Linked DNA regions of Schizosaccharomyces pombe. Changing the gene in region 3 together with the main gene of any one other region gives a genetic interaction. Each region holds a gene or a part of one and is shown on either strand. Other genes may lie near its edges. The genes, in order: vps4, les1, lem2 and suc22.

Region 1 (7,675 bases), 1.4 Mb from region 3:
CTATACAGGTTTAGCTGAAGGACTTGCTAAAAGTGAGCAACGTAAAGATTAGCTTCTTGTGCTATTTTTCAAAGTTATGTATATCTTCATTGTTGATGTTGTTATAAAACTGTTATCCTACTTGCTATTGCTAAGATTTATTACTCCTATCAAATAGTTCTATTTCAATTTTCTTTCTAATAAGTAGAATTTATTTGGTCATTTATTAAATCCAATGGAATTTTTAATTGAATCAAAATAATATCATTTTTGCCTAATAGAAATTTTTTCTGAATCAAGTTGCTGAATTTGTTGGGGCATTCTACTCAGCGTTGTTTTTGTCTCTATTGTAGTCATAGTAAAATGCAAACCATTGAAAAATCAATTTATAGGATATGCTATGTTTACACATGTTTTTTAATGAACATTTGAAATTTATAAGTATTTAGTCCTTGATACCATTTATTCTGTTGTTTACATATATGCCTTGACTACTGCTAATCTTGTTACCTTCCATAGTCTTTTAACAACTATCGTTCGTCTCCACGGTGGTGATGTAGTTGTAGAGGGTGCCACAACACTCCCTCCGACAAGCTCCACCACCTACTAGCGATTTACCTATCACTACTACATAACCCGTTTTGAAGCGACACAAAAAGAAAACGTGAAAATTTGTGTCATCTATTAGCAAGAGCTGTCAATGGGTCAGACATTATCAGAGCCAGTCACCGAGAAGCACTCGGTGAACGGGAGCAATGAGTTCGTCCTTTATGGACTTTCAAGCATGCAAGGATGGCGTATCTCAATGGAAGATGCTCATTCTGCTATACTTTCAATGGAGTGCTCTGCAGTAAAAGACCCGGTCGACTTTTTTGCGGTTTATGACGGCCACGGTGGAGACAAAGTCGCGAAATGGTGTGGAAGCAATCTTCCTCAGATTCTTGAAAAGAATCCTGATTTTCAGAAAGGCGATTTTGTTAATGCTTTGAAATCTTCATTTTTAAATGCTGATAAAGCTATTTTGGATGGTAAGTTTGTTGTTAACAATGATAAAGTTGTTTTCATTGATATCATAACCATTTTAAAGTCGCCAAAAAATTGATGAATTTTGTGTTTGAAATTTTTATAGATTTTTTGTTCTTTTGTCTAGTTAATGCTTAGAAAAATTGTTACCAAGATAATAGAAATGTTTACCTCTTGATGTTGAAAAGTTGTTACATTTAGTTTGGTTTCAGAAAAAAAATTTGTCATTTCACTACATTGCATTTTGCTAACTATTTTGACAGATGATCAATTTCATACGGATCCATCAGGTTGCACGGCCACTGTTGTTCTTCGTGTTGGAAATAAACTTTATTGTGTAAGTCTTGGAAGTTGTTTAGTCTTACTAATTGTGTAGGCTAATGCCGGTGACTCAAGAACTGTCCTTGGCAGTAAGGGAATTGCAAAACCTCTATCAGCAGACCATAAGCCTTCAAATGAAGCCGAAAAAGCCCGTATTTGTGCGGCTGGTGGCTTTGTAGACTTTGGCCGTGTAAATGGAAATTTGGCTTTGTCAAGAGCTATCGGTGATTTTGAGTTCAAAAACAGTAATTTAGAACCAGAAAAACAAATAGTTACTGCCTTACCGGATGTTGTTGTACATGAGATTACTGACGATGATGAATTCGTCGTACTCGCTTGTGATGGTATTTGGGATTGCAAGACTTCGCAGCAAGTGATCGAGTTTGTTAGACGTGGCATAGTTGCTGGAACCTCTCTTGAGAAGATTGCTGAAAATTTAATGGATAACTGCATAGCCAGTGACACCGAAACTACCGGCCTTGGTTGTGACAACATGACTGTTTGTATAGTTGCCTTATTGCAAGAAAACGATAAATCAGCATGGTATAAGAAGATTGCAGATAGAGTTGCCGCTAACGACGGACCCTGCGCTCCTCCTGAGTATGCCGAAAATCATGGCCCAGGATGGCGTAGTGGCGATAACAATAAGAAAGTTATTGTCCCACCTAATTTTCATCAAGTAAAGTTAAATGGATCTGATGGATATGACAAAGATGCGAATGAAAATTCTAAGGAAGATGATTCCACCAACGGATCCCTTGCAGCTGGGTTCAGATGGAAAGAACACTTTTTCCCTCATAAAGCCGAGGAGGAAAATTCTTCAAGTGAAACCGATATCGTAAATTCTAACAAAGATGTTGCGGATGATCATAAGGAGGCTGTGTCTGCAGCAGATTGATTATTCCCTACTTCACGCATATTACACAATGTAACTTGCTTTTAGGAATATTCCTCGTAATTAGCATTATTTGTTGACTTATTATAAAAGTCACGCTAGGCGGTTTTGTTTCAACATTTTTTCATGCTTTTCTTTTGTTGTTCGTATAATACGTGCCTGCGACGTATACCGATTACCTCCGAGAATGAAAAGGTTTTTGGTACGTTGCTACTTTGCACTTTTTGATAGCATGCGATTTCTATATCAATTTTGTCGAATACTGTCTTTTATAATCCTGATTCAAAATCAGTTAAGATTATGGAAAATATTTCTCTGGCATGAGTAAACATACCCAGACTAATTTCCGATTGCCCTAATAGATATTGTCGAAGCAATATACATTCCCTTCAATATTCTACTAGTTCCATAATTTACTAAAGTGATTCAACATTTGTGAGTGTAGTCATGATATTATACTTCTTTACAATAATGGTATCATTAAACTAAGCGAAAATAGCTCCTTTATCATATTACTATCCCTCTGCTCCAAAGTCCTTTGTAAATTGTGTGTGCTTTTCTATATCACCAGCATTAAGCGTAGGCTTGACTTTACGAACTGCACTGTAGAAATCTCGAACAGTAAGTTTTGGTTCCATAATGTCTTCAGGATTCACCTCTAGCCAACTAGATTCAAATGCATCAGGATCACCAGGAGAACAAGGAGTTACAAGGGTCCTATTAGACTTGTTATCATATACCTCTTTGAAATGGGTAGCTGTGTGAATTCGTCTTACAGGCTCCATTATTGCATCACGAACAACAATAGAAATATCTGAACCCGAGTAGCCATCGGTCATTTTAGCAAGTTCTTTGAAATCTTGTGAGGTCAGTTCCGAAGGTATTTTACCGACATTAAGCTCGAACATCCGAGCGCGGGCATGAGCATTAGGCAGGGGAATGTAAATACGCTTTTCGAAACGTCGGCGAATAGCAGAATCAAGAGTCCAAGGAATATTCGTGGCACCCAGAACCAGAACTCCACTTTCATCCTTTCCAACTCCATTCATTTGTACCAAAAATTCTGTCTTAATCCTTCGAGAAGATTCACTCTCACCTTCGCTTCTGCTTCCGCACAGTGAATCGATTTCATCAATGAAAATGATAGATGGTTTTTGTTCACGCGCCATTTCAAAAAGTTGACGAACAAGCCTATAATGTTAGTCATGTAAATATTAAAGAGTAAATAGTTTTAACGTAGAATAACAAACCTTTCGCTTTCACCCATCCATTTACTAACTAAATCTGAGGAGCTAATCGAAAAGAAAGTAGAACCAGCTTCAGTAGCGACTGCTTTTGCAAGGTACGATTTACCAGTACCAGGAGGACCATAGAGCAATATTCCTGACCAAGGCTTTCTACCGTGTGAAAATAATTGCGGCAGCTTAATAGGTAGCAAAACTGTCTCTTTCAAAGCTTCTTTTGCGTTTTCTAGTCCCGCTATATCATCCCAACGAACGTTTGGTTTTTCTACTAAAATTGCACTAGTCAATGCACTTCTTAACTTTTTTGCATCAGAGTCTAACGCTTCATTAGCGGTTGGAGAATTGCTCCCCTCTACATTTCCATTAGAGACTCTACTTTTTGAAGAAATTTGATTGTTTTTCTCCTGTAAATAAACCTTGAGCTTCTCCGCTCTATCTAGATATTCGATAACTTTTGAACGAATTATTTCTTTAGATTTTTCATTTTTTTCATCTGAAATATTAGCAAACAATAACTTGAAAATGTAGATCCAAATATAAATTTCCTTATGAATCATTGCGACAATATATCCTCACCCTAATTCAAACTATTGAGTAACTTACATTTTAGGGCCATCATAAAATAATCTAGTGCACTTTGATAATATTTGTAAGCATCAGGATATTGCTCGGCATTGTCATTATCAATAGCAGTTTTTACTAATGAAATTGCTTTCTACAGTAGTTAGAATGTTAGACAAAGGTTCAAATTCGGACGAGTTACTCCATGCAACAGTCTTACACTTAAACAATCTGGATTGGACATCACAGAAGCCAAATATCAAATTAATGATGAAAAAGGTAGATTTAAAAGAAAATCCAATGAAATTAAAAAGCTAAGTTACTGAACGGGTCTGCTCTGGATAATGGGTTTTGGTGTGAGTAGTACAATCAGTAGCAACAATGGCTTAATGATGGCATTAAGTACCTAGAGGTACATTACATTTAGCTACTAATAACCATCCTCAATATTTTTCTCTATCGCACGATAAATTACATTTCATCACTAACAATTCTAAAGGAATAAGTTTGACTGCATTTTTACGGGGTATTTTTTTTTGTTCGCTATCGTCAACATTTGATATACCAGTTGTCCTAATAAAGTATTCTTTTGGGTGATAACCTGCAACAATCGCTTTGTGAACGATATTATACTAAGGTTATTCCTTTTTAAAGACGCGTGTTTGGCAATTGCTCTAGCACTTCGTGACAAGATTCTTGGTTTGTAAAATAACCAGACACTTATTCAAACATTATTAGCAATGGAATTTTTAAATATACCAACAAAAAACACTTTTCATTGGAGTTGTGACCCTCTGTTTAATGAATTGAAAAGATTGTCTTGCTTCAAATCATTCACATATGAAAATGATTTGAAGACCTTTAAAGCTTTGCGAAGTCAATTATGTTTGTCGCATCCTTCAATAAATTCGTTGAGCTCCTTTCAAACTTACCACCAGTTGTTGTGTGTTTTAGAACAAAAGCATTTATCAGAATGCGTAGCACCATTTGTGTGGACATTGTCTAGTTCTTCAAACGAGAGAGAATCTTTTGAAAATCTAATATTTGAGCATGCTTGCTTGATATATCGATTAGCATGCACTTATCATACGACGGCAATTTCCCTTTGTAATGAAAAACCTCCTAATTTAGTACAGGCATGTCAATATTTTCAGCTTTCTGCTGGCTGTTTTCGATATATAAATGATTTCTATATATACACTAAATCTTTAGACTTCAATGAAAACTTACTGAAAGCTTGGGAGATTTATTGCCTTGCTGAGGCTCAAACTTGTATTTTTAGCAAGGCTAACTCAAATGACACGACCAGTGAATCTATCATTGTAAAGATTCTGGCAAAAGTCTTCCTCTTATACGAAGATGCATATAAATTATTTAAAAATGCAACTGGGGCACCGAGTATATTCGTTCATTGGACTTACATTCAAAAACTTTTTTACCAGACTATTACTTATCAGATTATTTCGCGAACAAGTTACTCCCTAAACAAATATGGAGAAAACATTTCATACTTGAGGCTTTCTCTGTTACATTGCAAGGAAGCTTTGAAAACCAGGTTCGATTTTGGATTTAATGTGAAAGTTTATGAAAAACTTGAAAAACTTGAAAGCTCTTTACAGTTTGAATTAAAAAGAAATGAGAGGGACAATGATTTTATTCATTTACAACCCGAAATACCAGTAGGCTCATTTCCTTTATTGGATACAGTTACTATGGTTCAATCGATAACACCAGATGTTTTGACGGATAAAACGGCTGCTTATCCATATTTTTCGACATGTTTGGACAAAGAGTTTATGGATCTAATTGAAGAACATGAAAAAAATATTTTGGATGCTGCTGTGAAGAGTATTGATTGCTTAACTAAAGAAGGTACAGAAAAGCTTTTTGCTCTTATGGAAGAGATAAAGTCCGTCAATGACAATAGGTATATAACTGAAACTTCAAATAAAGTAATGGAAAATTTTACTGAAATAAAAAATTTAGGGGGGCTTGAGTTTTTAAGGTCCGAAGCATCTTCTCTTGATTGTTTAATTGATAAAGTTAATGGCACATATCGACATTGTTGTCAAGCGTTAGACGAAATAATAAATTCGGTAAAGTCTTCCCAAAACATGAAAGAAAAAGGATTTTACAGCGATGTTATAAAGTTACATGAGGAAGTATCACTTTTAAAAGTCAATGTTGAAAATTCTCAAAACGCAAAGGATACCATTCAAAAAGATATCAGTGCCTTTGGCAAGGACATCTTTGAGTTATCTGCCCAGTCTGAAAGAATTTTGTCAAACTTGGCTGAGAAAAAAAATCCCAATACAGATCAATTATTATTGCAAGCAAACTCTTACTTGGCACAGTGGGATTTGCTTAAAGACGAGAGAAATATGTTAAAAAAATTAGGGAGTAATGATTATTTTAACATCTCCATGTACTCAAATCACACCGACATTCATTCACTTTTAAAATGCTTTAGAGAAGCTGTTGATGCCAAGTGGAATTTTAGACGACAAAGGGAAAGGCAAGAAATTATAATCCAGAATGTTGAAAAACTGAAAAGCTACCTAAATTCTTTCAAAGTACAGGCAGAGTGTTCTGAAATTTCAAAAATTCTTTCATTCTCACAAGAAACTGAGAAAAAGTATAAATTTTTATTACAAACAGTACGCAATGAAACAGAAATAGCTCGTGAGCTATACAATATTATTTGTCGAGCAGAGGAACGTTATAGTCAATATGAAAACAGGTATGAAAACGAAAATCGGCTTAACAAAATTAAATTGCAGCATTCTTCCTCCAATGCTTTCAATCCTGAAATCCATAAAATCAAGTTTAAATCGTCAAAAAAATAGGATTATCATATGTGATCATATAGTATTAAATCCGCATACATGTTCAAATTTTATCTTTAAAAGTTGATTAAGAAATTTCATTTTCATTAAGCCCCGTTAATTTAACTAATAAAATATACAATTACACGTTGATAAAAAAATTAACATTAAGATTCTCCTCATTTATCATTAATTTTAGAGTGCTTAGTTTCTGTAACGAAACCCGAGATTTCTACATGGAGTGGATTAATAATGCCTTGATTGTGCTGACCAAGACCTTGACCTTCTTTCCATCCACACCGTTGAAGCATTTTTAACGCTACATTTTCCTTTTTAGATATAGCAGGAACTGGGGGTGATTTCTTAAAAAAATCTAGATCTTCCGCAGCAATATTGTTTGATAAAACCATTGACTCAGACGGCCGTGCTAAAGTTGCATGACTTAATAGGCTAGGAGGAGGTCCAATTCCGGATTTTGAGGCATTTACAATGTTGGAAAGTTTTGCCTCAATTGACAATGAGGGAACTTGATTAACATAATGACTCCAATTTGTTTCACACAAATTTGCATAATCAGATTCTTTAAAAACTGAATAGCTGGTTGGGAATAAAGGGTCATATAGCTCCACCCATTCGTGTTCAACTGCATCCCCAAGATTATCTGAATGAACAGTTGATGCAGGAGGTTCTTTATTTAAATTATTCGGCTTACTTGGATAAATCCCCACTTCAATTTTAAAGGGAGTTGGATTTCTGGTAGTAACAGTAGATTGTGAATCATTTCGACATTGCACATGAGGAATGTTTTCGTTTGCATTCTTCTGGAT
Region 2 (7,480 bases), 1.2 Mb from region 3:
AACTTATGGAAAGAACCGTAGATATATTAATAAAGATATTGAAATTTGGGCTTCTTTAGATGAACGGCCTTGTGCTTTGAAACCTCGGAACATTGAAAATTTTAATAACCAAGAAAGAAGTGACCTTGAGCATATTCACTCTAAACCGAAAAAAGATTCATTATTATCTTGGAACATTCTCTTAAAAAAAGGTTCATACAAAGAAAATGAGTTATTGGCGAAACGAAATCAAAACCTGGTACCTACTGTCATAATACCGGCTTCTCCTCGGGATAATGCATCAAAGTCGGTAGTCAGTAAAAAAGAGGTTGTAAATTTGTCATCTTCTGTTGCTTTATCCGGAAAACCCGCAAATAATTCCAAATTAGATCCACTTCATCGGCTCCTCCAAATAGTAGCGCAAGAAGACGCTCTTCCATTCAGTCAATTTGTTAAGTCTCAGACTTTTGAGATCCAAAAAATTGGCGAAGCAAGTTATAGTGAAGTATACCAAGCCAGCAATGCTGATGACGTTCCCGTTGTTTGGAAAGTTATCCCGTTTGGAGAAGACGGACAAGCTCAATATGCTGATGTCCTAAATGAAGTACAGATTAGCCAATGGATAAAAGTCGACGGTTTTGCAAACCTTCATCAAGTAGTTGTCGTTAAAGGTACTTATCCTTCACTTTTATTAGAAGAATGGGATCGGTATCTTATGCAAAATGGTTCTGAGAACGATCGACCAGATAGCTATTCATCAACGCAACTTTATTGTGTTTTATGTCTTGATCATTCAGGAACAGATCTGGAACATTTTGAGCTCCGTAGTTGGCGAGAGTGCTGGTCGGTTTTTTATGAAACATTAAAAATTCTTTCTTTAGTTGAAACTCGTTATGAGTTTGAGCATAGAGATTTACATTGGGGAAACATTCTTATTCGGAAAGCTGATCGGAGTGAAGAGGAAGTTTCGTTTCTTTTAAATGAAATATCGCTTGACGACATTGAAAGTGTCGATTTTCCCGGCTCACAAGATAAGGCTGATGATTTTGACAACATACTTCAAGTTACGCTGATTGATTTTACATTAGCCCGAGCATCGTATTCTCAGGGTATAATTAGTTACAATGAATTTAACGACCCCGATCTGTTTAACGGTGTAGATGACTACCAATTTGATATATATAGGTTAATGTCTAGAGTGACAAAAGGAAGATGGGCGCAGTTTTTTCCCATTACAAACGTTTTATGGCTGCATTATTTAATTCATCAACTTTTACACAAAAAGAACTTGTCATCGCCGTTAACAGAGACTGAGACGCTTATGAGAAGTCGTCTTAAGCAAATATTTAGGCTTATTGACCCTGTTAAAACAATGCAGTTCCAGCAGGCCGAAGACTCGATTCGCTCTAAATCTACAGTTACATCTGCAACTTCTCTCCTCAATTGGGTCCGTCAAAAATACTAATTATGGTTTTTGCATACTAAAAAATTGAACGGCGTTCGCATTTTTTTAATATTCCTTTCTTTTTCATGGTATGCGTTGCTAAAATCTTATACATATGTACTTATATTTTAAATTTTGGACGTCGAAGTGAACTTTTTTGGTTATTTTTTTTCTTAAAGTTGACCATTTTATGTGGGGTTTTTGTTGTACATAAAAAATTACATATCTTTGACTAGCAAAACTTATAAGTAAATAAGAATTATTAACTGTTTAAATCACAAATGAGTGTACATGTTTTGTTATTTCCTCAGTAAATCCTATGATGATTGTAGTCGCTATTATATAATTTCCAATATGGCTTTCTATTTCCCAGTTTATGATTCGGACTCTCCGACTACAGTGCACCATGATGAGCGGAAGGAGTCGTGGCGGTCCCATGGGTTTATTGTTTGCTTGCACATTAGGTGTTGCATCTGCTGTAAGTATAATTCAAAAATTAAAAAACCAAGCTTGAATATAGCGCTGAGAATTCAATCCCTCAAAATAATAAAAATACTAATCTTTCAGTTTTATTCTACAAAACCACTTTGGGATAAAAATAGGTAAATTGAATCAAACATTTATAAAAATGGCTAACTATAGTGGGGAATGATAGCCCAGAATATAAGCAATTGCGTTCGGAAATTGAAGCTACAAAACGTGATGAAGAGGTAAAGAACGGCGAACTTATCGACCCCAATGTAACAACAGAAGACGAAAAACTTTGATCAGGGTTTATATTAAAACATTTTTTGTCTCATCATATTCGATTTTGTTTCATGAGAAATCTTCAACCTCATTAATATTCTGCAAAAAAAACTTACATACTAAGTAACTTTGTAGAGATTATTATAACTGTTCCGTAAAACTACCCATTTTATTATTTTTAATAAACTAGTACTAAATGAGAAAAAAGCAAATCTGAGTTAAGTATCTGTTATAATAAATGGCAACAAAAAAAAATAAACTAGAAATATACAGTTAATGAACAAGGCATGGCTCCAACTTCGAGTGGTCAATTTTCAATGGTACATTACCGACACAAATGGTATTTACTGCGAAAGTACAAAAGCCCTTTTAAGCGAGTTACCCAGGAATGTTTGCCAATAATGTATTCTGTTCAAAAAGGCAGGACCTCGTAAATAGTAATACAGGTGGGGAAGTAATCGTTCAAAAGCTTTGGTAGATGAAAATGGAACGGGGACAAGTTCGCCAAATGACTCCAATTCCTCTTTGAGTTCTTCTTCGGTCCAGGTAGACTGTTTGGAGACAGAAGGATGTGAGTATAAAGAATCGTTTAGCGATGCCATGTCAGAAGAGCTCCATTCAGAAGCAACATCCATATAAAATAATTTAGCAGCATGAATAAGTTCATGACGCGAGTTGTAAGCAACATGGGAAAATATGGAACCACGTTTATTGTACTTCCAAATCCAATCTAATAAGTCCTCAGACGACCATCCATCTAGTACGTTGGAGGCAATCATTACACGCGGTGTGAAGCGGTTAGCGTATGCTTCTTTCAAAAGAGTTTCCCGAGGTGAAAGAACAGAAATAGGAATGTTTCGCTCTCGCAAAAAATCAATAAGTCTACCGTCTGACCATAAGTGAATAATTTCTTTCATATATGGTGCAGGCTGGCTATCTGTAATATTTGTCACTTTGTCTTGCGATTTTCTTTCCTCAATATCGTAATAACGTCTAGCCAAGACGATTAGGTCGTCATGTGATGCACCAATTGGTACTGTAATGTTTTTCTGATCCAACATAGAAAGGAGTAGATTATTTGACCAGGATTCCAACTCATCATTGGTGGAAATGGCATCGCCCATTGATGCTTGGAAAACTGTTTCCAACAACTGCTCTCGGGTTCCAGGCTCTGGAACTTCGTACTTATTCTTAATAAGCCATCGAGAAAGCTCGGAGTTGGTCCATGAATTGAAAATCCAAACGTCCAATTTTTGTGCGTTATGAGAAGCATGATTCTTCTCCTTCTCATAGAAAGATTTACATTTGTCGGTTACCTTTGATACATACTGTAATGGCTTCCTCCAAAACTGTGAAGGAGTCTCGATAGGAGGAACGTCCAGTGACTTTACCCCATGATTTTGGAGAAAGTCATCAAGCTTTCGTTGAGGCCAAGAATCGGCTGGTCCTCCTATTTTCCCCTTTTCTCTACCGGCGTAAACGGTTCGCTGAACATACTTCGTAGTTGTACTAGGCGCATCATGTATATCAGCTGCAGTCGCTTCAATAGACGATATGTGGCCTGTAATCTTGCCTAGACAATGCCGGGTCAGCCGCTGTTTCTGTAGAAAAGCAACTCAACACTTACCAATTGACAGACAAAGCTGTATTCCTAATGCCAAAAGCGCTCCGTGTAGAAGAAACCTTGGCTGCATTGTATTTTTCTATGTGTTTGGGTGAATGGATGGTGCGTGATGCTTGATGGGTATTACACTTGGTATGCGCTGCTATATGACGTAAGCCGAGCCAGTTTCAAGGCATACAGAGAACAGGGTAAATAAAGCAGAATAAATAAAGGAAACTGCTTTATATAATGTTGAGTTGTTTTTTTATCAAAGAATATGCTAAATCATTAAATTCGCGCCAGTCGTCATAACACCATTCAAAAAAGCTGGAAGCCGAAATTCAATTTTACAGAAAATGTACTTTGCAGAGTTTACATGGGTTCCCAAGTTCGCTGATAGTTTAGATGCAAAATTGGTTTTATGCGATGCTACAAATTTTATAGACCGTTGTGTATAAGAACCCGAAAAGACATCTCAATATAAACATGCTGCTACAAAAAAGTTACGAGATTCGCAAGTTGACAGATTCAGCAACGCATCCTAAGAGAAAAATGAAAATGATGCAAAGTAAATTTATTTTTTCTGTAAAATGTAAATAGTGATTGGACCACGTTCTTCGTAAACAAGATCCAACCATCCCAATATATTGCTCATAAAAGTTTTTTCATTGTCATGTCTTTTTTTGTACGCAATATATAACTTTGTGTTCTTATCCATCAATTCCTGAAGACTTGCCTCCAAATCAGAAAAGCTAGATTCATTGTACATGACATCTGACATAACAATATAATCCCAATGACGCCGAAATTTTCGAGGAATGTCATGTCCCCATACTAAAATATCAGAAGTTATGTTGTTGCTCATTGCAGACTTATTCTTTTCAACATTTTTTTCCATAAATTCAATCGCATCTTCTGTATCGGTCATTGACACAAGAGCACGTGGATATTTGCTAGCAATACTTATACCAACAATTCCACATCCGGAGCCTAGTTCTAAAACATTGATGTCTTTTCTATTGGAAAAGCTATAATGCCAATCATCAGAAAGAATCTTTTTTGAGAAAACTACGCCGGCATCCCACAAGTGCTTAGCAATACTGTTACCCATCTGTTCGAGAAACCAGAGACCATCGTTTGGTGACTTTTTTTCTGGGCCTTGGATATACCGCCATACCATATTAGGTAAAGTAGATTTCGGTGAAAAAGCTTCACTCCAAACTGGTAATACAGTATCGGCATTTATGTGTATAGAATCAACGATTGAATTCTGATTTTCTAAATGCAGCGTCAATTGAATTTGCTGGTGACTAGCAGGAAAATACAAAGTCGTTTCAGCCGCGTGACCATTCCCTATCCATGAAACACATTGCTTAGAAATTGTGATACGACTGTGAGATTGTTGTCTATCCAATGCTTCAACCCTTACGGTTGCATCTTGCGGATATGAAACTTCGCCCAGATCAGAAGTTATCGTAAAAACCACTCGTAAAGCGTATTTAAAGGATTCTTCGAGCTTTTCTTGGAGTCTTAAAATTCTAATATAATAGAAAGTCATTCAAGCGTCCAAATACTTTAAAAATCCTTGGAAAAATAAAGAAAAGGGGGTCTTACAGAAATTTTTTTAATGATCTATTAACGTTCAGTTTCCCTTTAAACCACATTCACCAATCAATGAAATAAACCACTAGCAATGAAATACAAGTTGGTTGAAAAATTTTTTTTTTCGCAATTTGAAAAACTAAAATTCTCTGAAATATCAGATTATCGCCGCAATATGAGAGAGGGTAAACTGATCGTAAAAGCAAAACAATTGAACTAAGTTGTTAATTCATGCAACCCGGTAGCAATCATCATGAAAATAATCTCTGAATTGTTGTAAGAAAAACGCATGGTAGCAAACTTAAGTCGCAAGCAGAGCAACGAGTCATAACTGATAATACGAATATTCACATAAGGAAATGAACTTTATAAACACTCAATTACAAATTTGAGGGCATAAGCAATTGCACTAACACTTTTTTACATGTTGGTTTATTATGTGTTTTGCTGACTTTCCTTTTGTTTGTTACTTTTTTGTTGTTACCAGCGCACCTAAACGAGAAAACGTGTATTGATCCCTTCACATTTTAACCTCACAATACAGAAAATGGAGAATCAGGTGTCCAGTTTTCTAATTGATTCTCCAATGGAATGGAAGACTTATATGAAAAGCTTGAGTGATGATAATCCCAGCTTTGGGGACGTAACAGTTAATTTGACGAAAATTAGCGTATCTTCAAAAAATGCAAAAAGCTACGCAGAAGAAATGTATAATTATGTAACTCAAGAGATGGTATTTATCAGTGAACGTAGTAGACTATTATTGCGCGCAAAAAGAAGGTTGTACAAAAATCAATCACTTATGAAAAAAACGTCTGTGTCAACCTCGAACACAGTAAAGATGGTATTTATGTCACTAGCAAAGCAAATTGAACAAATGCTCAAATTCTGTATGATGGTTTACAGCAAATTGTGCGAGGCGTTTGAAACAACGTTAAAGGTAGCGAAGGAGTTTCAAATTTGCGATTCTTCTCAAGAATGGTTTTTCCAATTCCAATTGGGTTATCATAGAAAACAGATGGAATTACAGATGCTTTCTTTTGTAGCCGAATGGCTTGTTTTAACTCAACATTATACAGATGCTCTGAATGACTCGGCAAAAACACTTTACGACATAATGGAAAGTAGCCATAAAGCGGCACAAAAAGTTTAAAAGCATATTCAAATGTCAAACAAAATTTTCTTCTTTTAAAGGTGCTATTCAATTCATGATTCCAACAGTTGCTGTGCAAATTAAACTATTATCATGAAACAAACCACGGTAAAGTTGGTTGTACTATTGTGTGACTCCTTTTTCAAACTCATCAAAGTACGATTTTCAATTAAATTTTAAACTTTCAATTGAAAGGGTTGCCTCAAAATTGACAAGCCCTTGGTCAACTTTCACTAACTGGTGCTGTTGATTTTCTTCCTATTTAGCAATCACGTTATATATACCGTGTATTTCATTTTGAGACTGAGAGTAGACTTCCCCAATATATTTTAGTAAAACTATCCTTCGAAGGTTTTGTTCATCAATGAATTAATGCTTTACTCATCAAAATATATTATGAAACAATCCTACTTGCGAAGTTCATTCTGTATTACGTATTTCCGTATCTCTTTTAATAAACTGGTTCGCATCGCCTTAATTATTCTAAATTTGATTGTTACCTGAAATGTAGAAGCCAATCTACAGCGCACAAGGACATGTATGTCCTTCGCTAAGCAGTAAGCTGGGGTCTTGCGTAGGCTTTAGCTCATGGTACAAAATTCGTACCTAAACCAAACACCTCTAATCCTTTATTATACAGAAACCATTGAAAAACCCATAGAAAGCTTGATTGAAGCTCATTGAAAGTATGTCAAGCTGTTTCGGAAGTAAAAAGAAGCCTATTTATCGGAAAATCGTAATTCTTGGTGATGGTAAGGATCTTGGTGAAAATTTTGTTTTTTCTTTCGTGATTTTCGCAGCTAAGCATTCTAACCGTAAATTATAGGTGCTGCTGGTAAAACCAGTTTGTTAAATGTATTTACTAAGGGTTATTTCCCTCAGGTATACGAGCCTACTATGTAAGTATCATTAATAGTGCAAAGCTGTAAACGGCGGAGCGGAAATGAGGTTA
Region 3 (8,370 bases):
AGGATATTGGCGAATTATCGAAAAAAATGTATTTAATGTACAAACAGGCATACAAAGATTTAAATGCATCTTTGAGAGAGCGCCGCAGACGTTCTACTAGTAATCGAAGGAACTCTGGTATTTGAAGAAAACAATTATCACGCTTTATTTATTCTGTTTAATTGATTTTCGATCCGGTTTTATTTGGAAGATCCCTACTTTTCTTTGTTTAATATTACACTTAATTTGGTATCTACATAGTTTTTAACTTAGCATACATTAGAAATCGGTATCTATATTGCATTGTTTAGCAAAGAGCGCAATGCGCTGCATTTCAGTATATACTCAAATTTTCTTTACAAACTGTTAGCATAGTTTCTGCCAACCGCCACACATGGTTTGCTTTTACGTTGAATGAATTAATGATCACTCTTATAATTTAAATTTGTTTTATCTTACAAATTTATTTTGATTATTTTATCTGACTCATTTGAGACACCGAAAAGTTTTTGGGGTGTAAAATTCATTCGTGGGAAGTCCTGTAAATTTCTAAAAATTTAGCTTTTCGAAGCAAATTAACGGCTTAGTTTTTGGAAATTGTAAGGAAATGTTTTATTAATAAGAGAGATATAGCAATGTTTGGTTTTTTAAGCAATTGGGTCAACTTGACTTGAAACAGTTTATTTCCACATTTACTTTACTCTTAAGTTTTGGTTTAACTTTGAAACTAACTATTACAAAGTTTAGAATAACCATACGTGAATTTATCCGCTAGTGTTATTCTTATTATTTTTTTGTTTGCATCCATTCCTTTATCTGTGATTAGTGCAAGTGTTTATCTCGTCTTTACAATGCCTTCCATCATTTCCTCTACGAATCCTCAATATATTAATAAATGTGTTAACAACGGGACAATGGCATCTTCTACAAATGTTCCCGATCGTACTGTAGGTTCCAAAAGTTTTGCCTCTTCAGTTTCCAAAAATGATGGACGATTAATGCAACAAATGTTACGTGCTTTCGTCAATAAAGCTTTGGACGACAAAGCAGAAGGAAATTTTGCCGGTTATGAAGATCTTAGAAGACAGTTTGCTGCAAAAAGTGATACTAAAGATGCACCTTCCTCTCTGCAACTTCAAAACTTATTGTCGGCTTTGACGTGCAATGTTTCCAGATTGGATAGCTCTAATTCTTCTTTAGTTATGAGCGTACTAGATTCTGTTTGGGTGAGCAGAGATGAGTCCTTTGTGAGATGCTATACTCGATTTTTAGGAAATCTCATATCTGCACAATCTAATTACTTGCCGCTAGTTATGACTATGCTGATTCAGCATATGTTGTATCGGCCTGATAGTTTAGCAATCCATTATGAACATGCTCATATGGCTTTAAAATATGTGTTGGAACTTGTTCCCCGTGCGCATTCCTTCTTGTATAGTAGCATACTTGAGGAGTTTCCGTACAAGGACGAGAGCCTTTTAGCACAGATGACTTATATTTCGAACGTTTTAAGTATATGTGAATATGTACCATCAATTAAAGGTCCTGTATTGCATGCAATAATTGATAAAATTATCCAAATTGATGTGGAAATACAAGTAGAGGTTGATGATGATGATGAGGAGGAGGATGAAGTGGTAACAGATGATGATGGAACTAGCAATGCCGATTCTGAAGTTATTACAGCTTCAACGTTATATGAACGGCATACTGCTATTTCAAGTGAAATGACATCTAGCACAATATTGACTCCTCCCTCATTAACAGACACTCGTCAATTGATGCAGCAACTGGATCAGCTATTGTATACTTTATTTTCTTATTTAGATTCCAATTTAAAATCTACTAGTAGAGATCGTTACTTGGTTTATAATAGTTTGATTAAATCATTTGTGAACACGGTCCTTAAAACGTTCCGTTGTCGATATACTCAATTTTTGATATTTTGGGCTTCTCAGTTGGATCCCGAGTTTACTGATATTTTCCTTGGAGTGCTTACGGAAGTTTGTCTTGACCCATCACAACCTTATACTTTAAGATTAAGTGGTGCAATGTATATTGGGTCTTACGTTGCTAGAGCCAAAGCTTTAGAAAAAAATACAATTCAGATCATCGTTAATATGATGACTCGTTGGGTTGAAGCTTACTTAGATCAATGTGAAAACGAGCTGTCCGATGATTTACTATCTAAACACTCGGTTTTTTACGCAATTAATCAAAGTATTTTTTACATATTTTGCTTTCGTTGGCGTGAACTTTGTGTCTCTGATGAGTCTGAATCCATGGAGCCAAGACCTAACGAATGGATACCGGGCTTAGAGATACTTCATCGGTCCGTTCTTTCTCGGCTTAATCCATTGAGATACTGTTCCCCCAATATTGTACTTCAATTTGCAAAGGTTGCAAATCATCTCAATTTTATGTACGTCTATTCCATTATTGAGCAAAACAGAAAAGGAATTTTTAGAGAAGGGTTCGACACTATGGATGCCTATTTTCCCTTTGATCCTTACCGGCTTACGAAGTCTTCTATAATTGTTCAACCATTTTATAACGAATGGCAACAAATTCCAGGTTTGGATGATGACGAGGAAGAAGAAGACACAGACTACGAATCTTCAACCGTAATGTTGGGTGAATCTCCCTTTTGAATTCCTTTATTTTTTTTTAAATACCCTTTCTATGTGACATGTCCTATTTTTTCTCCGCTAATTTCTTACTCTAGACATGCCCATATTCAATCAAAAATGGTACTGGTTTTGGTTTTTATTTTAAAATAATTTATTTGGTATAACTAAGAATCACATTAATATAAGAAATACAGTTAAATTTCATCAACCTTGCAAACAAGTCCTCATTATACCAATTTTATGTTTCATTTTTAATATGTATAAGCATTCAGATAAATATATTATTAACTTACTTTTGTATTAGCTATGAAAAATGTCATAAATACAAAGCTAGAAATACAGTCGAGAATCATTATTCACGTAAAGGGGAAGTTGTATTAATAAATGAACGATCGGTTTGGAAATCCAAAGTATTTGTGCCGACCCACTCCCATACACGGGTCCATTCGCCGTCTACTTCTGATTCACGAGTTCTTACACTGCCAACTTGTTCAACACGTTCGACTATTGCTTCCCAAAGAGTTCGAGCAGTTGCTTTCGTCATATGAATTTGTTCCAATGGGCCATTTCCATGAAAGAGTATATCATGCATTTCGATTAGTGGTATAACGGGTTCTTGAGATCGAGACATTTGATAATTTGCTTTCTGTCTCTTCAAAGATTCTACACAGAATCGAGAAGCCGATGGTAGATACTTTGCTACGATACTGCGAGTACGAAAAAAATTGATGAGCTTAAAAATAACTCCTGACAACGCAAGGATTCCAAATAAAAAAACTTTGTTCCTCCAAACAAATTTTATCAGTTGCTGTTTTAAACGACACCGCAAAGGAATACCTGCCCAGCTATCGTAGCAAATTAATTTTGAATCCATGACAACTTCATTCGTTTCAGAAAGTACTGCCAAAGAAGCTTTAAATAAGTCCTCAAACATTTCAAGGCCAAGGGTTGGAGATTTTCTTTCAAGAAGCGTATCATGTAATAATCCTAACGCAAATGGTTTTGATGGGAAGGAGATATGATCAGATGATATATTAAGATTATCGGCGACATAAGGGTGCGCATTGTACGACATATTTCGTTCCAGCAAATCTGACGAGTTATTGCTACAATGCAAAATTGCATTCCAGGATCTTAATACACTTAAACATTCTTCACGAAAAATATTAACACTTTCTTCTCTAGAAGTATCACTAACGCAATACTTGGAGGGCCAAAATCCTAAACTTGAATACCATGGTTCGTAGAGGACATATCCGGGCTTGCATTCAACGTAATTTGGAGAGGGACATATTGCATTCGGAGGGCAAGTTCTACACAATGATGGAAAACTTATTCCAAGAATTGAAGCAGAACTTCCACTGGCACCCGAATCACAGAATCCTGCTGTAAACATTTTCTCCCGTAATAAAGCCAGAAAAATTGCTGCCACCACTCCTAATAAAATCATAAAAATATGCACTAAATAAGAAGAAGATATCGCGCTGATTCCAGGAAAGGCGCGCAAATTGTGAAGAAGACGATAATTGGCGTACTTAATGTCGTGAAATACTTTTTTAATAAACGACCAAAGTTTGCTTTCTTTTCGAGTCTGCTGCAAAACGTAATTTTGAAAAAGCTCGTCATCTTCCTCAGCAGAGTCTACTTCAGAATAAGGCGATGAAGATTCAGAGGGCCTTGCACTGTCAAGAGGAGCAAACTCGATATCTCGAGAGACTCGCTCAGGAACATTAGTAAAGGGTCGTTTATGTTGAAGAGGACTAGAAGTGGCTGAAGTTTGTAGACGATGTGATATTTTGGGAGACCTCAATTGTGGAGAAAAATTGTTTGAAGATGAAAGCAGCTTTAACCTCTCCGAAAATGCTGGCGAAGTATGTAAAGCAGAGCTATCCATAAATGACATAGGAACAGCTACCCTATGAGATTTATGCGAGCGAAATTTTGGTGTAGACGCGTGGGCTGGCGGAGTTTTCATAGTCAGCGATGTTTCCACATTAGGGCTCAATTCAGAATAGGACTGAAAGGTATTATTTTGAGAGACGTGCGGAGACTCTATTTTAACCGGGGTTTCAATGTTGCTAGGTTTGTCAATGAATTGTGGAGACAGAAGCGGTTCTGTTTCGTTGTGTGGCTTTTTCGTGCTTTTGGAAGGAGAGGAGGGATAAAGGTATTTAGGAGCTATTTCATCCTCGGAGCTAGACGCTTTTGAGGTGTTAGAGTTTTCCTCTTTTTGAAGATGAGACAATAAATGTTGTGGACCAGAGCTTAATTTGTTTTTCCGTATTCTATCCACCATCCTAATATACTCTATTTTTCTGGCATTCACAGGGAATGACACTCCCGATTCATGAAGGATCTTTTTCAAGTCTATGACACGAAGATTTCGCAATTCGAAGTTAGGGTCCTCCCAATTGTCCATGGTGAATAATTCAAACTGATCAAAAATGGTATAAAGCTGATATAAGCTAGTTAATTACATGAATCCTTATCTACATTAAAAAGGAAACCTGGCATAAGTTGCTGATTCGTGAACGTAATTGCAATCCCATACAAATTTATAATATTACAGCAATGAGCTATAATATACTTAGGAAATTGCTTGAATTCCACTGTTCAAACACACCTTTTCAAATTTAATAAAAGACTTCACTAAACGAAGGTAAAGCAATTTCTTATTTCTCTATCTTTGTGCCGAATCTTTGTTTTCCTTCTTTCTTTTTGCCAGTTAAAGTGGGTGGCAAATAATGGTTAAGGGAAGAAAGCTCTATAAGGAGGCATAGCGCAGCTCATTGCTTTGTGTCACCTCAGCCCAAATAACGTATATTGGGTAAGAGTGTTGCCCCCGAAGTTATCCTTAACCAACATCAATCACTAAGAATACAGAATCCATGATCATTAGGGATTACTCGAATTTTGACTATAGTAAAAAATGCAAAAAGACATTGGACGTAGATTTCAACGTAATAAGAAGAAAATTAATTCTAAACCGGGCGGAGCAATGGTTGCTTCCAGCGATGTCGAGTTCAGTTTAGATGGAATGTCGATTATGCCCCAACGAGATGGTAATCTCCAGATACCTAACTTTGTGAAACCCAAGAGTACTTTTGCTACTTCTAACATTGGTGAAAGCAATGGTAAGCGAAATGGCGATAAAGTACGCGGGAATCGACGCTCTAAATCTGGTCACAGTTCGTATGCTGGCTCTCGTATCTCAGGTGGCAATTCTAATTCCCACCTTCCTTCTGGTGTTGCTTCGGCTCCTGCTGGCTTAGGAATTGATAAGGTTGCCGTCGGAGAAGTTGATTCTCATTTGAAGTCTGTATCTTCTTACGTTTCCAATTCTTCCGGTGCTGATCGATCTTTTTCTTCGAATTCCTCTTCCGATACTAATTCCATTCTTTACGCCGGTCCTACATTTACTCATTCTCCGGCCGCTTCTAATCTTCCCATCCCTACGTTCTTACACTCTCCCGTTTCCGAAAAGGCTGAATGGCAACCTCCTACTGGTAGTGTGAACTCAAACATGCCTTTCCAGTTTCATCAATCTTCCTCTGTTCCTTCAACCCCATCCGAAGTTGCCATGGGTCATAATTTTTGTCCGATGTCTCGTAACGATCCCTCATTGCAGAGTATTCAACAGACGAATGGATTTTACAGTGGACACAATTCTCCTCATACTAACTATTCAGCTTCCACTCCTTCTTTTAATCACTTCAATGCTGCCGGCCATCCCACTGGTAACATTACCCCTACTTTGAATTCCCCTAATAACGGCATTCATTGTCATTCTACTTCTGCCCTAGACTTATTGTTTCATCGCGATCGTGAACAGCGCTTGTTCCGTATGCTGCGTCAAGGAAGTGCATAGTTTCATTGGATGCTTATTTATGTCTAAGGACATATCACCTTTTTAAGCCTCGTGTTCTGTTCTAACTATTCCACTTTTTTGTTTCACCTTCTTTCGTCTCCGCGTTTATCTACACGTGTTCGTTGTAGCACTATTTATTTGAACATTGGCCAAGAGAATTTATCATAGTCTAGTATTTTTGCTAGTATTATGACTTTCTTACTATCACCCTATGTACCTCTGTCTTTCTGTTTTTTTGGATTATAGAATTTAGCTCTCTATATGGGTTAATTTTGTTTCCTTCGCTTTTGGTTTTTAGAGGATTTCATACAAAAGCTACTGAATTCCTTTTCTAACGGCTTATAGTTAAAAGAAATGCCAACGTTTTTAATGGATTTCTTGGATTTGAAATCTTGATTTTTATTGACTAGATTTCCTTAACTTCATCTTATTCCTTGTTAGTTAATTGAGCGAGCAATTCATTTATAATATGGAAATGTTCGTCAATGACTATTTATCGAAAATGTGCCTCGTTTACTTTTCGATTTGTATGCTTAGAATGGGCATTTGTTACCTTTTTTATGAGCGTTGGGTGTTATGATCTGCATATTGCATTAATTTTATTCTGGCTAGTTTTTATTATGCTATTAATAATCTCGTTGTGCTTTTATCGAGATTTGTTTGAAACTTGTTTCACCGGTCTCGTACATTTTTTTCTCTTGTGTTTTTTTCTTTTAATTTTCCTAATTATTACTGACGTGTTGCCTATTGCTTTGCGATGACAGTACATCTTATTTTCCTGTGTCGAGGATTATAGTTATAATCTTCTTTTCCTCTCATGAACTTGGCTTTGGTTGCCAACCTTTTAAACTTTCGTCCATGATATACATGATGTTTGCTAATATAAGTGATATTTATGTGGTCACCTTTTTTGGCGAATGTTGTAACCTATCTTCTACGCTCAAGGAGTACATGCAATGTGCTTTATGCTTTTTTTTTTTTGAATGTTTGCAATTTTCAAGCCCTCGGTTTTTGAGCTTTCATTGCTAGTCAAGATAGTCAACTTATCGTTGATTATAATATCTTTCACTCGCAAATCGTTTTTACGTAAAGACTGAATTACGGCAACATTTATTGCTCTTATTTGTAAATAGTTTTGGAATCATTTCTTTTTAAAACTTTAAATTTATCTCTTTCCTTCATTGTTTACAAATAATGTTGCATTAAGTGGTGATTTAGTTTTTCTAATATAAACACATATTTCCGTCACTGATGTGTCGCGTTTGTGTATTTATCCACCTGATATGTGCAACAGTATTAGAAGGCACGGTTTTTCTGTGTGTTGACGATACCTGTTTACACATTCCTTTTAATCCACTTCCTTTACTTCTTTTCCGTTTTTTTTTTATTTTTATTTTTATTTTTTTTTTTTTTGCTGAAGATGGACTTATATTACCTGCATTTTTTTAGTTAATATAGAATTCATTGAAAACAAATTTTCGGCGTGTGTAGATTTTTTATAATTTTTTTGTTGATTTAGATAAGTCATTGTTTTGTTCAGCTCAATGCGCGAGTGATATGTTTGGTTTTACACTTGTTGGTTTAAGCGGATCGTAAGTTCGTAAATATGCGTTATCTTGTTTAAGCAAGGTAGGTTAGATCTGATAGTTATTTGTAGCTACCACCAAAAGCAAATTTCTCAAGCCATTATTTTTTGTCGAAACCCAATATCTGGTAGACTAGCTTTTTCATCATTCATGCCTACTTATTCCAAAAGGAAGTCTAGAGGCTCTTTAGAGGTTTCTGAGAAAACCAATCAACCCAAATTCATAAAGAGAAGTCAATCGAGTGAAACAATAACGTCAGGTGAAACTGCTAGTGAATTGATGCAAGATGAAAAGGAGCAGAGTAATG
Region 4 (7,737 bases), on a different chromosome or scaffold from region 3:
ACAGCCTGCTCATGACAAAAATTAGAGCGCAAAGAGGACCCACCATAATTAGAAAAGCATTTCTCTGGATATGCATTACCGGCTAGAACAGCTGAATCAGTACATGTGATGCATAGAAGACCGTCCTTTGAAACGGATTGTACAGCAGCATCCAGAAACGGGGCAGCAGATCCATAAGGATCAAGGTCAATCACATCGTAATGAAATTTGTTCATATGCATAACAGCATTAGCGTCTCCTTTATTAGGAATTACTATATCGCTCACATTATTGTAATTAACATTCTTCTCGATGGTTTTCACAGCATTTTCTAATAAATCATTTGCAAGTATCCTTTTGACATTTGGCAACTCCTTAGCATACCGAATGGAACGCAATCCAGTAGCGGAAAGTGCTTCTAAAATGGTAAATCCAGCAATATTATCAGCTGAAGTAGAATCTGTCTTTTCCGAACAGTTTTTTTCAAAATCATGAGTTGTATCACATTTAGTAAGATTTTCTTGGCTAAGTTCGGAGTTTTGATCGAGAAGCTGATGCCGGTGATGAGATTTTGCAACAATTTTTTTGGATCTAGTTTCCGACCAAGCACGAATAGCTGTAACGCTTAAATCTCTATTAAATTGTTGTACGGGGTTATAAAAGACTTCATTCGGATTTGAAAATGGTATAATTGCACTACCCTCGGTCAAACTTGCAGAAGCCCCCGACATCATGGCGGTTGAGAAGTGATTCACAGCATTTGAGATCCTTTGACTTAATCTTAGCATATTGGCTTCATACATTTAATACGAATTAAAGAAAAATAATCGTTAAAAAAAAAGAAAGTATTGATTATTTTTGAGAGTAAATTTGCAGTAATTCATTAAAAAAATACGAGATGTGATAAGTCAACCATAAATCGAATTACAAAGTATTGTATAATACATGTAATCTTGTAGGTTTAGGTAATTGACAATAAGGATAATAAGTAAATGGTCTTTTAGTCTATGACTGGAAAATAACTTTTCTTAGACGTAGTAAATTAATGAAAAAGAGAAAAGAACTTGAATAGAAATACTTCAGAAATTAGAACTTCGTCATTACATTCACTGAAGTAGCCATTTAGATTTGTAAAGTATAGAGTAACGAAAATCTAATTAAACATATTAATTTATTATTGCTAAATAGGTTATCAGTAATCAATAATATTTTTTTTTTGCTTTAACTTATCTAAAAACCAAAAATAACTAGTCATCTAAAAGTCCTCATCGATTGTAAATGTATGATCATCCTTCTCAGCGCGCTTGGTACCCGACATAACGCCAGCAATTTGGTAGTCAGAAACTTTCTTTTCAAAGAAATTTGTTTTTCCTGCTAAAGAGATATTCTCCATGAAATCGAAAGGATTGGTTACGTTATAGTACTTGTCATTGCCCAAAGCAACCAACAAACGATCAGCAACAAATTCAATATACTGACACATCAAATCCTTATTCATACCAAGCAGACTAACGGGAAGAGCGTCCGTGAAGTATTCTTTCTCAATATCAACAGCTTCAACAATAATGGCTTCAACAACCTTGCGGCCTGGTCTGTGCTTCAAATGACTAAACATCAAACAGGCAAAGTCGGTGTGAAGACCCTCATCACGACAAATCAATTCATTGGAAAAAGTAAGACCAGGCATAAGTCCACGTTTCTTAAGCCAAAAAATAGAGGCAAACGATCCAGAAAAGAAGATACCTTCTACAGCAGCAAAGGCAACCAAACGAATTGCATAGGTGGAATCTTCATCATTAATCCAACGAAGAGCCCACTTGGCTTTGGCCTTAATAGAACCCATTGTTAAAATAGCATCGAAATGACGCTGTTTTTCCTTAGGTTCACGAATGTATGTATCAAGCAAAAGTGAGTAGGTCTCAGAGTGAATATTTTCAATCATAATTTGGAAACCATAAACACAACGAGCTTCAGGGATCTGAACTTCAGAGCTGAAACGCTCGAGAAGATTCTCATTAACAATACCATCTGACGCAGCGAAATAGGCGAGTACAGTGGAAATAAAGTAACGTTCATCAGCATTTAACTTGTTATCCCAATCAACCAAGTCTTTCGAAAGATCAATTTCCTCAGCAGTCCAAAAAGATGCTTCAGCCTTCTTGTAGAATTGCCAAATTTCGTGATACTTAATTGGAAACAAAACAAAGCGGTGAGGATTAGGGCGAAGCACAACTTCATCAAGCTCATCTTCCTTTTTGCCCAAGTAGTAGTCGCCTCCTTCCTGTTTCTCTTCTTCACTTACATTATCAAAGTTAAAGGTTTCTTTAATAGATTTAACATAAATTTTACGAACACCTTGTTCGCTATCATACTCGACTTCTTCACCATGTTCCTTAGGATAACTGAATTCTTCGAGATGCTCAAGGCCCATTTTGTAAGATTAATAATGAGATTTCGTCCAAACTGACCGGATTTATCTGTATATAGAATAAGTACAAAAGTTTTCTTCCACCGCGATTATCTCTTGCGATGTGGCTTCCCAAGATGTGTTGTGGTTAATGGCAAAACTTTCAAAGGTAGGTTATCCAATGTAGTGCACAGTATTGTAGTATATTCAACACCACCGTTTTTTTTGTGGATGTTAATTTGTCGCACTTTGGGTATGATAACACAATGAATAAGAGTGAAGGCAAAATAGACAAAATGCTGCCTTATTTTACAGAGTGGAAAATTGCAGTTAAACTAAGTCAAAGGCTGATGGAGATGAATAACGTTGAAAAAAAACAATGTACTAATTAATATTTGGAGACAAACGCAACGAGTAAAAAAAATGAAATAAATTCGAAGACAATCTCAAATTAAATGGGAAAAGCAAGGGCTTACTTCCTTTCCCTTCTGGTGTGTTATAATAACGGTTTCTTAAAGCAGGAAATTGTAGCTAGTTAATAGAAAAATGTGATAGCTTAAATCGAAGAATTCGATGCTAAGCGTGGAGTCGAATAAATTCAATTATTTAGGCTCAAATAATTGAAAAAATAGAAATGAATTTATTACTTTATGTAATAAATAAATTATTAAATTTCTCACTTTTTGTTATAATTTAATAAAGTAGTTTTCAGTGTAATACTTAAGACGCGTCAGGGTACCTCAATTTATGTTGTAGATGAAACGCAATGATATCAGCCTAGTAGTACGATATGATGTTAGAAATAAATATCTCTTCACAATCTCCTTTTCATCCGAGATGTAGAGCGCTTTATAACTGCTCAAATATTACAAATCACGAAACTTCTAATGCGACGCGACCGTACATAAAGACATTGCTTAATTAAAAAAAGATAAGCGCGACAGAGACCTAGCCACATACTGTGAATAATTTTAATACCTTGATCCTTTCGTAAAAAAAAAAAGAAATACTTATATTCGTCTATTGTAAACAGAAAATAAATAAGCATTCCAATAGCACGTTTCTATTGCGTGTTGTGCTTTTAGGTACAGTTTACAATGTGGTATAAAACAATAAAGAATTTTCTATATTCATTCTTCACTGATGTTTGAAATAACCGAACAAAAAATAAAAAGTTCCCTACTCGAAGTTTTTATATTGTTGATATCGCATTTCTTTTGAGAATTTCCCTGCTAACTTACTTCATAAGTTTTCAAAAAAATTTTTAAAAATAAAAGTGAAATAAATTTTAGGCAGTAGTCTAAATAACTCTCATGTTTAGAAATACAAAACGTGTAGAAGAAAAATAGGAAAAATTATGGATAGCTAAAATAACAATCGATTGAAGCAATGAAAACAATTAGACATACATTTATGAAAATAAAATGACCAATTTATTGTCTGGCAAAATGATTATTATTAATTTAAAACAAATAAACTGTTTATTTATACATAGTGAATACTCTCCAAAAAAAATTTCTAACAGTACTACATAGTGGCTTTTAAAATCAAACTGAATGTTTACTTTTGCTGCGAGAGTAATAAATTAAAAAGGAAATATGTAGAGAATCAAAAAAATTATACACTGCAATTTCTTTAGAGTCAATGACAATTTGTATATGCCCTAAGTTACAATATTTACATTTTTGTTACCTTACGAGTTCGCGTTGATTCATACTACCAACTAACTAAAACAACCTAAAGAAGAACCTTTCTTGGTATCTTACCCTTACTTAATACCCTTGCTTTCTTTTTGAACCTTTATATTTTTTGCTAATTCAGCAGAAAAGTTTTGGGATACTTTTTTGGTTTGAAAAGCATGGCACTTCCCACCATAGATTTAAAAATCCCAGAGTATGAAGAATGTCAACATAAAATTACGGATTTTCTATCCCACTTCAAGCAGGAACAGGTTCAAGATGGACAACAAAATCAGGATATTTCGATGTCGGATGCAGGTGATGAGCCTTTTTTAAAATCAAAGTATATGGATATACTACAAAAAATCTCCAATCGAGAGTCAAATGTTATTAATGTTGATTTGAATGATTTGTACGAGTTCGATCCAAGTGATACTCAGCTTTTGCATAATATTGAATCTAATGCTAAACGGTTTGTTGAACTTTTTTCGCAGTGCGCAGATGCGTTGATGCCTCCTCCTACTGTGGAAATTAATTATCGCAACGAAGTACTTGATGTAATTATGCAGCAACGTGTTCAAAGGAATGAAAATATAGACCCTGAGCATAAAGGATTTCCTCCTGAATTAACCCGAGGTTATGACTTATACTTTCGACCAGTAACTCGCAACAAAAAACCATTCAGCGTTCGTGATTTAAGAGGCGAAAACTTGGGATCTCTTTTGACTGTCCGTGGTATAGTTACTCGTACAAGTGATGTTAAGCCTAGCTTAACTGTAAATGCTTATACATGTGATCGATGTGGGTATGAAGTGTTTCAAGAAATCCGTCAGAAGACATTCCTTCCAATGTCTGAATGTCCTTCGGATGAATGTAAAAAGAATGATGCAAAAGGTCAGCTTTTCATGAGCACAAGAGCCAGTAAATTTCTTCCTTTTCAGGAAGTAAAAATACAAGAATTAACGAACCAAGTACCTATTGGCCATATCCCTAGATCATTAACCGTCCACTTATATGGTGCTATCACTCGCTCTGTAAATCCTGGCGATATCGTTGATATTTCTGGTATATTTTTGCCGACTCCGTATACTGGTTTTCGAGCAATGCGCGCCGGGCTCTTAACCGATACTTACTTAGAATGCCATTATGTTTCACAAATCATTAAAAATTACACAAATATTGAAAAAACTCCTCAATCGGAGGCTGCTATCGCTGAATTAAATCAAGGAGGCAATGTGTACGAAAAACTGGCCAAGTCCATTGCTCCCGAGATATATGGACATGAAGATGTTAAAAAAGCTTTACTTCTGTTGCTTGTCGGAGGTGTTACTAAAGAGTTAGGGGATGGAATGAGAATTCGTGGTGACATAAATATTTGTTTAACTGGTGATCCTGGTGTCGCAAAATCTCAATTATTAAAGTATATTTCGAAGGTTGCCCCGAGAGGAGTATACACCACAGGTCGTGGATCTTCAGGTGTTGGTTTAACTGCTGCTGTAATGCGTGATCCAGTGACGGATGAAATGGTTTTAGAGGGAGGTGCCTTAGTACTTGCTGACAACGGTATTTGCTGCATTGACGAATTTGATAAGATGGATGAAAGTGACCGTACAGCAATTCATGAAGTAATGGAACAGCAAACTATTTCAATTTCAAAGGCAGGAATCACTACGACTTTAAATGCTCGAACAAGTATTTTGGCCGCTGCGAACCCCTTATATGGACGATATAATCCGAAAGTGGCACCAATCCACAATATAAATCTTCCAGCTGCACTGCTTTCCCGGTTTGATATTTTATTTTTAATTTTAGATACTCCTTCTCGTGAAACAGACGAGCATTTGGCACAACACGTAACATATGTTCACATGCATAACGAACAACCTAAAATGGACTTTGAACCATTAGATCCAAACATGATTAGGCATTATATTTCTTCTGCTAGACAATATCGCCCAGTCGTACCAAAGGATGTATGCGACTATGTTACTGGTGCTTATGTTCAACTTCGACAAAACCAAAAGCGTGATGAAGCCAATGAGCGTCAATTCGCTCACACTACTCCACGTACACTTCTCGCTATTTTGCGAATGGGACAAGCATTAGCTCGTTTGCGTTTCAGTAATAGAGTGGAGATTGGCGATGTTGATGAAGCTTTGAGATTAATGTCTGTTTCAAAGTCATCACTATACGATGATTTGGATCCTAGTTCTCACGATACTACTATTACCTCGAAAATATATAAAATTATTCGAGACATGCTTAATAGCATACCAGATGTTGAAGGCAATGAACGCTCACTTACACTACGTGCTATTCGTGAACGCGTACTTGCTAAGGGTTTTACTGAAGATCATTTAATAAATACAATACAGGAATATACAGACCTTGGTGTTCTTTTAACTACAAACAATGGTCAAACAATAATGTTCCTCGATCCGGATTTACATATGGAGAATTAACAATTTACTAATAGATAACTCCTATCATTTAATTTTTCTGCCAATTAATTGCTTTAAGCTAATTTACAACCTATAGAAATTATTCTGAGACGTCAAACTACTTTTCTGTTGAATATTCTTTAATTCTGACTAATACATCTGTCGTTCTTTTAATCTATGATAGTTTATTTACTTGTATTCAAATGTTAATTCACGCAATTGAAAGGAAGATATATTAAGCCAATATGTTTCGTTAGATTTGGAAGGACCATAAAACCTTAAGATACGTGTCAATATGCTCGAGTCGTAGGAATGAGTAATGAGTTTTTATTTCTTGACATTTAGCATTATTTTACACCTTTAACTTGTTCATCACTGCTGTCCCACCCTTCCTGCTGTCATGCCGAGTAAATTGCGAATAGAACTTTACGCACTTCCTTAGAGCAACCAACTTTGGATACCCATTGGTGTCAAGAAATGGGCATTCCATTTTAAATAACTTACTTTGTTTTAACGTCTTTTTAATACTGATTAATTCCATTATAACTAGTTTGCCGGATCCACTTCTCCGTAAGAATCAAATAAAGAAATTTGCTGAATATTCGAAATGAGAACTACATTAAGGCTTCATATAATCAAAGATGGTGAACAAGATAATCAATTTATGATTCTGTTTGACCCATCTTCTTCAATTTCTTTATTAAAAGAAAAAGTGCAGGAAACTTACAAATCACTTTATCCTTTTGAATCGTAAGCATAGCAGCATGCTCCATCTTTCTACTATTAACGAAAATTATTATAGAAATATAAACATAAGAAATATAAAAAATGAAGAAAGCTACGACATTCCTAATGAGTACTTAGTCGGTGAAATCTTTCCCACTAATTCCAAGGTCATTGTCGAATCATTCTCTTCTCCGTTGAAGAAATTAGATGGGACTATGATAAACTTCAAAGAAAAAAATATTCAACATGATTTAGATGGCGTTGAAAATGATTTCGCTACTGTCCAAAGTGCATCTAATGGTGTTCATGCAATCAATGGGAAGCGTACGCATCCGGATGAGAGTGAAAACCCTCGAAAACTACCAAAAAAAAATTTTGTAGAGGCAATTGATGCGAACTCTCCTGGATTTGTATACAGACCAACTAGTATTCGCGATCGAGCATACTCAATTTCTTCAAATCATGATAATGAAAGTACATTAACCGAAGGGATTGCTTTAAAAGA

What was found.
Region 1: of lem2 (region 3) and vps4, changing one suppresses a phenotype caused by changing the other (phenotypic suppression), as found in Schizosaccharomyces pombe (one study listed by BioGRID).
Region 2: mutations in lem2 (region 3) and les1 impair growth when combined (synthetic growth defect), as found in Schizosaccharomyces pombe (one study listed by BioGRID).
Region 4: of lem2 (region 3) and suc22, extra expression of one rescues a mutant of the other (dosage rescue), as found in Schizosaccharomyces pombe (one study listed by BioGRID).

Annotation. Positions count from the first base shown.
Region 1 is NC_003424.3:814,709-822,383, reverse strand, and holds vps4 (AAA family ATPase Vps4), read right to left. Parts: upstream 4,382-7,675; 5' UTR 4,268-4,381; coding exon 4,244-4,267; intron 4,178-4,243; coding exon 4,066-4,177; intron 4,023-4,065; exon of another isoform or gene 3,956-4,022; coding exon 3,469-3,955; exon of another isoform or gene 3,410-3,468; coding exon 2,734-3,409; 3' UTR 2,645-2,733; downstream 1-2,644. Other genes in the region: smn1 (SMN complex subunit Smn1/Gem1), read left to right, coding at 1-52; protein phosphatase PP2C catalytic subunit Ptc3, read left to right, coding at 680-1,007, 1,266-1,339, 1,379-2,221; alx1 (BRO1 domain-containing protein), read left to right, coding at 4,764-6,869; rbm17 (G-patch type RNA-binding protein), read right to left, coding at 7,028-7,675. UniProt on the Schizosaccharomyces pombe protein: Involved in the transport of biosynthetic membrane proteins from the prevacuolar/endosomal compartment to the vacuole. Involved in multivesicular body (MVB) protein sorting.
Region 2 is NC_003424.3:1,034,319-1,041,798, forward strand, and holds les1 (nuclear bridge Ish domain protein Les1), read right to left. Parts: upstream 3,892-7,480; 5' UTR 3,865-3,891; coding exon 3,798-3,864; intron 3,744-3,797; coding exon 2,515-3,743; 3' UTR 2,321-2,514; downstream 1-2,320. Other genes in the region: haspin-like kinase Hrk1, read left to right, coding at 1-1,444; SPOM_SPAC23C4.04C (uncharacterized protein), read left to right, coding at 1,715-2,025, 2,079-2,190; efm6 (methyltransferase), read right to left, coding at 4,348-5,331; karyogamy protein Tht2, read left to right, coding at 5,923-6,528; Rho family GTPase Rho3, read left to right, coding at 7,217-7,280, 7,355-7,427. UniProt on the Schizosaccharomyces pombe protein: Inner nuclear envelope protein involved in nuclear fission, which is achieved via local disassembly of nuclear pores within the narrow bridge that links segregating daughter nuclei.
Region 3 is NC_003424.3:2,231,256-2,239,625, reverse strand, and holds lem2 (LEM domain nuclear inner membrane protein Heh1/Lem2), read right to left. Parts: upstream 5,349-8,370; 5' UTR 5,029-5,348; coding exon 2,962-5,028; 3' UTR 2,853-2,961; downstream 1-2,852. Other genes in the region: SPOM_SPAC18G6.12C (uncharacterized protein), read left to right, coding at 1-125; RNA polymerase I general transcription inititation factor subunit Rrn3, read left to right, coding at 831-2,630; protein Edc1, read left to right, coding at 5,539-6,477; rRNA (pseudouridine) methyltransferase Mra1, read left to right, coding at 8,214-8,370. UniProt on the Schizosaccharomyces pombe protein: Nucleus inner membrane protein involved in meiosis. Plays a role in regulating nuclear envelope (NE) morphology and nuclear integrity, particularly during spindle pole body (SPB) extrusion or insertion through the NE, and perhaps during karyokinesis.
Region 4 is NC_003423.3:3,716,428-3,724,164, reverse strand, and holds suc22 (ribonucleotide reductase small subunit Suc22), read right to left. Parts: upstream 2,543-7,737; 5' UTR 2,411-2,542; coding exon 1,235-2,410; 3' UTR 1,093-1,234; downstream 1-1,092. Other genes in the region: trm1 (mitochondrial tRNA (guanine-N2-)-methyltransferase Trm1.1), read right to left, coding at 1-782; MCM complex subunit Mcm7, read left to right, coding at 4,245-6,527; nucleolar protein Dnt1, read left to right, coding at 7,114-7,256, 7,309-7,737. UniProt on the Schizosaccharomyces pombe protein: Provides the precursors necessary for DNA synthesis. Catalyzes the biosynthesis of deoxyribonucleotides from the corresponding ribonucleotides.